2 linked regions of the Caenorhabditis elegans genome follow. The protein of the gene in region 2 interacts with the protein of the main gene of each other region in a pairwise test. Each region holds a gene or a part of one and is shown on either strand. Other genes may lie near its edges. The genes, in order: cam-1 and lin-17.

The links.
Region 1: the proteins of lin-17 (region 2) and cam-1 interact in a protein complementation assay, tested with the Caenorhabditis elegans proteins (one study listed by BioGRID).

The regions. Positions count from the first base shown.
Region 1 is NC_003280.10:9,307,079-9,312,005, reverse strand, and holds the start of cam-1 (Tyrosine-protein kinase receptor cam-1), read left to right. Parts: upstream 1-1,701; 5' UTR 1,702-1,704; coding exon 1,705-1,781; intron 1,782-4,927.
Region 2 is NC_003279.8:2,705,699-2,710,833, forward strand, and holds the start of lin-17 (Frizzled-4), read left to right. Parts: upstream 1-1,900; 5' UTR 1,901-1,930; coding exon 1,931-1,996; intron 1,997-2,403; coding exon 2,404-2,508; intron 2,509-4,220; exon of another isoform or gene 4,221-4,221; coding exon 4,222-4,368; intron 4,369-5,135.

The sequences.
Region 1 (4,927 bases), on a different chromosome or scaffold from region 2:
CCATTTTGATTATAATCGTCTATTTCTCTCATAGCTCCTTGTGCTCAACGCCTAATCCTCTTCTCTGCTTCCAACAGCAGCATAAACAAATTTTCACACTCAAGGACCCGCTTCTTGAAATTTCTCTCTTCTACATTCGGTGAACACAATTCTGAAGCAGCACGAGCAGGAGCATGCACTTACTTTCAAATTCTATAATAATCATTTTGCGTTTCTCTTTTTATCCGATTTACGCTCTCAGGGATGAATGCTCCAGTGTATCTAGGATTTTGAGAAACATATACAAAATTAGCTCATGCTGAAGGTTTCGAAATATCTACTGCAGATCACACATGTTTTAGGAACATACATTTTGGCCAATTTGTTTATATCTACCGTATCATTTCTAATAAAATTATTGTAATCATTTACACGTTCTGAAAGTTTTTTAATCGACCTGAAAATATTTGTTCACATAGTCGAAAGGTTTGGAAACCTGCCCATGAATTTACGAACGTTCATTGGACTTTCTGGACATGTGACAATTTTTCAATAATTTAATTAGAAGATCCATGATCTCATATTTTGTGCAATATATAAATGTTTTCTCTGAAATTTAGCTGTTCTTCTTCGAATGGGACTCTCCCAGAATTCCCGTTTGAAATTCCATTCAGAACATCAACAGGAAGCATATCATTTGGTTTTCTCACGTTATTTCCGGAGTTTGTTTTGGACCTTGATTTTCAAGTATAAATTGGGATTTGGTTTCTAGTATTAAAATGACAAAGTGAAATATTAGAAAAAATATTTGGAAATAAAATCATGCAATTAAACATTTTAAGAACACCATTTTAAAAATTTTACAGTTGAGTTTTTTGATGGGTGAAACACCTAAATTTTTGACAAACTTTCGTCATAATTCCACTTTCTTACTTTTAAAATAAGTGACAATCTAGTGTATATCCAGCTGTGTCAGGAAACTCAATTATTTTCCAAATTGCTTTATAAGCCTTATTAGACAGGTGTGAAAACCCGTGTATTACTAAAATTGCATGAAAGAATGCTCATCTTTTCTTCTCTAAATCTCTTTTTCATTCAATTTTCTTCCATTTTTCATCACCAACTCTTTCTTCTAACTCATTGCTTCACAACTCTTCGTGCTCCTGCTCATTTCTCAGTCATCCATCACATTTATTTTACATGCAAAATGAGTGGAAAAGCGCATCAAAATGTGTACTACTAATATGAAAATGACTTTTTTCCCGTCTCTTTTTGTACTTCATCCTCAATTCATTTCGATTTGAGAAAAAAAGTTTCATTGGTGGTCCTGAAAGTTGTCATCTAATGAAAAAGACCTGCGTCTCTTCTGGAAATGAATTCAGAATTAGAAGAGAGAAAAGTTGTCGAATTCATGACTTAAGAAAACTGAAATTCTATACTTTTTCTTAAATTTCCTCTCAAATTCTCATGATAAATTCTGCGATTTCTGAAATCTCACCTGCCATTTCTCAACTTTTTTTTTAGCCGGCTTAAGCTTTATACTTCAATTCAACTTTTGCTTCACTGAACTTTATGAATTTCTGTTTTTTTAAAGTAATATTTGAATTACCTTTTTTTATGTTACTGGTGCTGAAATTCTCGATTCGAATAAATTTTTGAACTCTGTATATTACCATCTCGTTCCATTTTTTAATTTTTATACCCTAAATCTTGAATATTCCAGAAATGTCTCCCCGACCAGAAGACGACGATCTCGTGATAGAACCAGCCGACGATGAGGGTCTTCACTACGGAAATGCATCGTGAGTATTACTGTCTTTTGATACGATAATTATAGTAATTAGATACGGGTGGTAGAAACTGTAGCTGCCTATTTTGGCAACAAACGGTTCGGTTATTTACTATCAGATTAAATGAATATGGGTCAAATACAAGTAGTTTATTAGATTGCCTCAAAAACACAAAATGCTTAAATCTAGTGAGTCTATAGATGTACAGTTTGCTGACTACAAAAATTTTTAACGACCTCTAAAATGCGCGTCCACCTCTTGGCGTATAAAATATAAACTTTAAAAGCATTTAATCAGTTCATATAGATTTTCATATATGTTCATATAGATCAGTTCATATAGATTTTCAAAAAATGTATTTAAAATAAACCCAATTACTTCTTGATTTCTGAATAAAACCATATGGTTACCGCCATCCGTTCCCACATTCATCAAGCTCGCCCGATGAGTATTATGCAGTATGTGATCTTCACCGTTAGAATCTTGATTATAAAAATAATGTTCAATGGGAAATTTTTCTGCAATTCTCCCTCCACCCAACTTATTATCTTCATTCAAAATCTTGAAAACTTCCGTCGTGTCGACTTCCCATTTTTCATCTTTTTGACAAGTTTGCAACTTGCGATTAGTTTTAGCGCAATTTTTATTAGATTTTGAGTTAAATTAATTGCTAAAGGGGTCAACTTCGAAAGTGATTTATTTCAAATTTTTGTGAATTTTAAGTAGCTAATACTTTGTCAATATCAAAAATCAAATCGTTATGAAAATAATTTTTGGCTCGATTTTTGCCTAAGTTATTTTAACTTGTTAAAAAAATTGACAAACTTTATATAGTGCTTTTAGGCAAAACGTGGGCAGAAGCTGAAACTCGCTCAATTTTTTCCATTTTTCGAGCAATACTTGGATATGGTCTCAGTCAAGTGTTACAAATTTTTTCGCCAGTTTTGTATTTTTAAGAGAAAAGTTGTGTAATATTTTGGTGCCAAATGCCGATATCTCACATTTTTGATGAATTTTGGTAATTAGATATAACATCACGATCCAAAATTTTCCGTTAGCACCCATTCTTTTGGAAATTTCAATTATTATTTTTTCATCCATATTTTGTACCACTATAGAGCATCAAAATGTCATTCCGGATGCGGAAATTGGGTTAACTGACACAAGCTCATTTCCCTCAAACAAACGGAGTGACATGCCCATATAATGGATGACCATTCTCCCACCTCTTCTGTTCTACATATTGCATAATCCACTTGACACCTATATACATCCACCAACACCCGGACGTCTTCCTCCTCTTTCACCCATACAACGGACCACCCCCACCCTAACCGTGACCATCTCCTCTCTCTCTCTCTTTCCCTAATATCTGACAAAACGGACTGACCTCTGCCTTCTTTCCTACTGTCAGTCATCCCCTGTGTCTCTGCGTCTCATTGAATCAGTATACTATTTCTCGGGGATTCTGTCGAATGGGCCCTCCCCGCCAAACGCGCTCCGCACATTCATCCGACGGATGGACTACTCGATTTATAATTTATTGGCCTTGTAATGATGACACATCGTAAAAAAGAAGTTAATTTATCACTATTTATTAGTTTCTTTTTCTAATTAATTTATAACTTTCGAATCATTTTTGAACGGTTTTTAGTGATTAGAAAACAGTTTGATTCCAATATTAAGGTCTTATTACTAATCTATAATAGGCATTTTAATACTAGCTTGATTTAGTCTGCTTAATCCTAAATATCGTTCAGTCAATCCGCACTTCTCCTCCCCGGAAATGAAATATTCCTAAACTTGAATTAGCTGAATTTATCTTGAATTTTTATTTTGGTTTCTAGGTTTAGTGTACTAAAATCCTGGAGATAGTTTTAAACAATCTTACGGTTTTTAACAAACCTCCATATTTTGCCATTTGGAGAACTATTCTTTAAGTGCGCAAGATTTGTTTCCACAACTTTTAACTAAATTCTAAATTATTTTTATATCTTCAGCCTCACATGTAGAAAAATTTGTCAAAACTTACTTTTTTATATTCGTTATCAAATCTCTTATTTTTCTTCTTCTCTTATCACCGATTCCATTAATTTGACCTGACAGCCGAGCATGCGTTCCACATCTTTTACGTCATCTATCTATTACCATTCCATCTTCTTCCCGTATTCCAAAACTCCCTTCACACCTTTTGTCTATACTTGTTTCCCAGGCTCTGTCAGTATATTTGCAATTGGATCAATATCCTATTACTCCTGAATAGGCTAATGGAACTCGCATTTCGATGCGAATAATAGTCATTTAGGTGGGCTATTATTACTGACTAGTGAGTCTCGTGTTCAGGTTTAGATGAAATTTTGTTTTGAGGCAAGGTTATACCTGATAGAGCATTTTTGATTTCGAAATTATTTTGCTCAGACTGAACTATTTCCATTTCTTTCAATGGGTGGCAAACTGCAGTTAGTCAATTCACAGTCAACTTTCTTCAGGCACAGAAAAATTGAGTGATTTTTTAAATTTTCATATTAACAATTCCACCAATTGCAAGTACACCCAACAACCGAAAGTGATTGTAAGATCAAAACATTGGGTTGAAAAGTGTTTGTATCTATCTCGGTCTCTTCTTCTGTAGTAAATTGTGCCTAACACACTGTTTCAATGTTTGTGATCCACTTTCCAATTCCGTTCTCATCATCATGTTTATCCTTGTCGGTAGTCGGCTTTTACTGGCTCTCTGTAGAGACTGTGATGATCTTTTATAGGAATTTGTGATTTGTTTGGACAACTTGGAAGTCAATTTTTTAAACTTATACTCCCTAGAAAGATTATTTTCAGAAACTTCTTAGTGTAATTTTTCTTATGTTTCTATTATAGTTGCCCAAAAAATTTCAACACCAAAAAACTACATTGCTTGATTCCAAATTTGAAAATTCGAAATACAAGTCACATACACACTCTCAAATTTGGCACCATGAGCCCATTCTCCATCTCTCTGTGACTCTTCGAATTTCCCCATGTTCTTTAGTTCATTGCAACTCCATCAATCTTCATCATTATTTCAACTATTTACGCGCCCCCAAGTCTCGCACACACACGGACAACTTTCGTGATTTAGTGAGTGAGCACAGGGTCCCTTTGGTGGTAGAAGAAGAAGCGAG
Region 2 (5,135 bases):
ACCCTCAAAGCGAATTTTTCCGCTAATTCCAAAAATATGCTTTTCATCTCTCTAGCTAAAAAACTAATTAAGTTACAGTGGTTTTTACAGGCGTGTGAGAGAGTGAGAGGTCGCAGACGCGCGAGAGTGTCTGCTTTCTCTGCGCTCTCTCATCTTTCAGTCGCTGGACTAAAACCCCCGTAACTCAGTGAGCTTTAGAGTGAGAGACACAAAAAGTAGATTTTCGGAATCAGCGGAAAATTTCTGTTTGAGGAACAAAAAGTTGTAAAATTTGGGAATTTTTTTAGTAAATCTTCTGAGGCCTAAACTTATTTTCCAGCCCATTGACGATCTCGTCTCCAATCCTCCCATTAGTCCTTATTTGCATTTTTACCTTTTCAAAAACTTCTCCACCTCAACCTCCTCCGTCTCCATCTCTCTTCTTCATTCTCCGTTCATCATTGTCCAGATGTGTGTGTTCGTATCAATTGCCCCTTCTTCTTCTTCTGATACATGTGTCGTATACACATACAATTGCCTATGACACGGGTCTCTATGTCATAAATCTCTTAAATTCTACAGCCCACCCTCCTCCTCCGACATCATCGATCGGGTGGTGTGCGTCTTTTCTCCATCTCCCCTTCTATCCACGAAGAACCTAATAAATCAAGACATTAAGAAAGAAACGGAGATCTTTCTGTTTGAGATCCCTTAGGCTCGCCCACTAATTTGACGTTGAAATATTGTCTCGATTTTGAGCCGCCTGAATTCCATCTTTTTGAAATTTTAGGCCTTTTTGAATTTGAATTTGAATTTAGTATTTTTCTTTTTTTTTCGTTTTTTCCGGATTTTCAGACTTTTCTATTCTGTTGAAAACTGGAGAAATCTACAAACTCCCCTGATGGCCGAGTTTTCCATTTTCAAGGCCACAAAAACATTATTCAAATTCATCGAATTTCTAGGCTTATCTAAAAAGTGATATGCATGTCTTTTTAGATACTCAATCCCCATTCAAATTTTTTGAAAATTCATTAACTGGGAGCCTGGCCTGTATTGGACGTGGCCTAGAAAAATATTTAGTGGCCGAGTTTTTTCTCCAGATTTTTGCAACAATTTTCACTGTAATTTGAGTCAAAATATTTTTTTTTAATTTAAAATATTCAATTTAGGCCTAAGTTAGGTAAACGCGCTCCACTGAGAAATAACTATGCAAACGCGCTTCGTTGAAAAATGGTGCAAATGCGCTTCATCGGAGAAAAATACAAAAATGTATTCCATCGAAGAAGATGATGCAATTGAGCTTTACTATGCAAATGGGCTCCATCGGTAAGTACAGAAACATTTTGATTTTCGGTGTTTTTTCGTGCCCCTTTTGTCGCATTGGGATTTGAAAAGATGCCTATTTCTTCCCGAAAAAAAGTTTCTTTCAAAATTTCTAGGTCCCACCACGAAGTTCATAAGTCCCACGGATTTTGGGTCTCATCACGAAAGTTTTGTATTAGGTAATCTACTAACAACTTTTTATAAAAGCACATCAAACCCAAATAGTGACCACTGATAGGGGGCGGAGCCTAAATCAGCCAACTAGAGAGCACGAGACGCAGCACACACCGTGTGTGTTTGTGCAGACGTCTTCCTTCTATTCTTCTTTCTCCATTACTCTCTCTATATGCTAACCAGACGGGTGCTGCTTCACCAGGAGCCTCTAATTTTTTTTCTGGGTTTGGTATGATTTTTCTAGAGCTTTGAAATTTTTTTAAAACCAAACTATAGATATTTTTCCCAAAATTTCAATTTTCCCATGGACCACTTTCCATTTCTCTTCTCCTGTTTTTCTTCTGTTCTCCGCTCCTCTCAACTTTAGTATTTTCTCGTTTTCGCTCCTCAAAATTGACTCTAATTATTCCGTAACTTTTTGAAGGCTCCTCGAGAGACTGGCTCCTTCTCCAAAATGATGCATTCTTTGGGCATCATTCTACTATTTATTCCACTCGCCACAGGATCAATTTTCGATCAGGTAGACTTATTGGAAATCTGAAAAATCGATGCACCATGCCTTTAAAAAATTGCACTAAACTTGCGCGTCAAATCGGATGTATTTGATGCTTTGCCCATCCGTTGCACCATGTTTTCAAATTTTCGATTCACCATAAGCCTACGACTTCTGTCCTAAACTTGCGCGTCAAATATGGTGCACCGGGTGAGTCACTTGAAAAGTCGATGCACCTTGATCTCTGTTATTAAGTTTACAGTTTACAAAACTTGCGCGTCAAATATGGTGCACCCGGTGCGTCACCCATATCCTAAAAAGTTGATGCACCATGTTTTAATGCACTATGGTCATTTAGTGAATTTGTCCGTCAAATCTGGCGCATCTAGTCGTGCCACTTTCCTAGATTAAACACCAATTTTTCAACTTTTCAGGCGGTGAAAGGGAAATGCATTCCGATCGACATTGAGCTATGCAAAGACCTGCCCTACAACTACACATATTTCCCGAATACCATTCTACACAACGATCAACACACGGTAAGCCCCCTTCACCAATAATTTCCATATTCTATCAATTCCTGAATCGGGTGATTTGCATAGAGGAATGGAGAATGAGGGAAAAGTTAAATTTTCAAATTGGTGTCCCATTCCCAGTCACACACAGAAAAGAGGGAACCGACTGACGCTGGTCGCCGCCGCCGCCCGCTAGCGGCAACTTCAAAGAGCCCCTGGTCTCGGCCAAAAAGTCTGCGCACTGGCCGGTGCACACGCTCTCTGGCCATCGCCCATCTCATCAACATGGACAAAAATACGCGAAAAATAAATGAGACAAAAGGGGGATGAAATGAATAGGGGGAGAGGTACGGTCAAAAAATATATGGTGCCGCGGGAAAGATTAACTCCGTTTTTTTTTTTTGGGAAATTGGAAATGGGGATTTTGGCCTATTTCAAAAAAATTTTAATTGCTGCATAATTTATCATGGCAGAAGGAGTCAGGTGTCAAAATTTTAGGACATATTTTTTAGGACATTCTAGGCCCAAATTTTAGTCTAAAACTTTAGGCCAACATTTTTTGTCCAGAATTTGGTCTGAAAATTCAGGCCAAACTTTGAGCCCAAATTTTCAGACAAGTTTTACGCAATATTTTTAGGCCATATTTTTAGGCCAAATTTTTAGACAAAAATTGTAGGTTCTAGGCCGCATTTGTAGGTCAACATTTTCCGTCCCAATCTTGGTCCGAAAATTTTTGTCAAATTTGAGTCCAAAGTTTTAGGCCAAAATTTATTCAAATTTTTAAGTAAAAAATTGTAGGTTTTTGGCCACATTTTTAGTCCATATTTTATTCAAAACTTTCAAAAGTTTTAGTCCAAAATGTTAGATCAAAACTTTAGGCCAACATTTTTAGTCAAAAATTTTTGGCCAATTTTTTAGGACAAATTTTTTGCCAAACATTTTAGACCCAAATTTTAGGTTCAACATTTAGTCCAATTTTTAAGCTAAAAATTAGGTTTTAGGCCACATTTTTAGTCTATATTTTTATTCCAAACTCTTAGACAAAAGTTTTAATCCAAAATTTTTGTCCAAAATTTTAGATCAAAACTTTAGGTCAACATATTTAGTCCAATTTCTAGTCCAAAATTTTTTGAAAAAAAAAACAATTTTGAGGCTAAAATTTTAGTCCAAAATTAAAGGCGCACACTCTTATTTTGTTTCGAGACCCGGTTAACAAATTTTTGGGATGAAAAGCACACAGTGGGTTGGGGTCCACTCCTCCGGCACGGTGGTTTTTTACTAAAATTTTTTGTTTTTTGTTCAAATCCAAACCCACTCTCTATCCAAATATTGGTTTTACATACAACTGCATTTTTATGACCACACCGGCTAAACGTTTTTCGATAACAAACTGATAAGCGAGGTGACGGCGGCGGCGGAACCTCAAAGGGGGCACCAGCGTCTAAAACATGTTTCTAATTTTGCTCCGCCGCACTTTTTACGACCTCCCGTTCTTCTTCTTCTTCTTTCTGTGCTCTTCCCCTTTTCATCAGATACGCATTTGCATTTCGAAGGGGGGAAACGGGGAGGGAAATGGGTTGTGGAAAAGATCCCCCATACTAATTGCATTTTGGGACCACAACAAAAGAGCCCCGGAGCCCACCCAGTGGAAGGGATTTCTATACAATACAAGGGTGCCGGAGAAAACATTTTTAAGGGTTTGGACCGGAAATCCTAAGAAAAAATTCGTACTTTCAGCTTCAAACCCACACGGAGCACTTCAAGCCGTTGATGAAAACAAAATGCCATCCACACATTCACTTCTTCATTTGCTCCGTTTTTGCTCCAATGTGCCCGATTGGAATGCCACAGGCCGTGACAAGCTGCAAATCCGTTTGCGAGCAAGTGAGGAAGAAAGTGGCCGAAGTTTTTATTTGGCGGCCACGTAGTAAAAGTGGAAAAATATTGGGATGGGTCAACTTTCGGACAAGTAGCTTTTTAGGGTTTAACAGAAAATCCAAAACTTTCCGAAATGAAAAAATTTTTCTCAATTATTTAATTTTGCGAAAAAATTTTCAAAAAGTTTTTAATATTTTTTCATATTTTCTTTAAAAATTTAGTTTTTAGAAATTGGCAAAATAATTTTAAACAGTTCTATAAAATCCAAGTTCGAGCCAAAAATCTAGAAAAGTAATAGCTAAAACTGACAAAAAAGAAAGTTCGCTTGTCCGAGAGGACTACACAAACCATAAGTCTCTGTTTTTTCGGGCAATTTTTTAAAAACTGTTTTGTCTTGTCAAAAGTTACATGAAAAAGGAAAAAATCGTCTAAAACCCGAGAAAATCCCTTGAGGGGTAATTTGAAACGGGGGATGTGGAAACGCGAAAATTAGAATAGGAGAGGGCTAATTTTTTTTGAGAAGGTTTAAATGGATTTTGTGAAATTTTGCCATTATTCTACAAATTATCATATTACAATAACAGAAAACTTACTTCCTAGGCTTAAACTAGGCAAATCCTCCGCGTTTTCGCATCCCCCAAATCTAACATTCCTCTAAGAGACCTCACGCTTAATTTTCTGATTTTTACGTCATTTTTAGCAGATTGTAACCAGAGCCTGTCATAATGTTACCGTAATGTCTTAAAATTTCCTTTTTTTCGCAAAAACCGCTC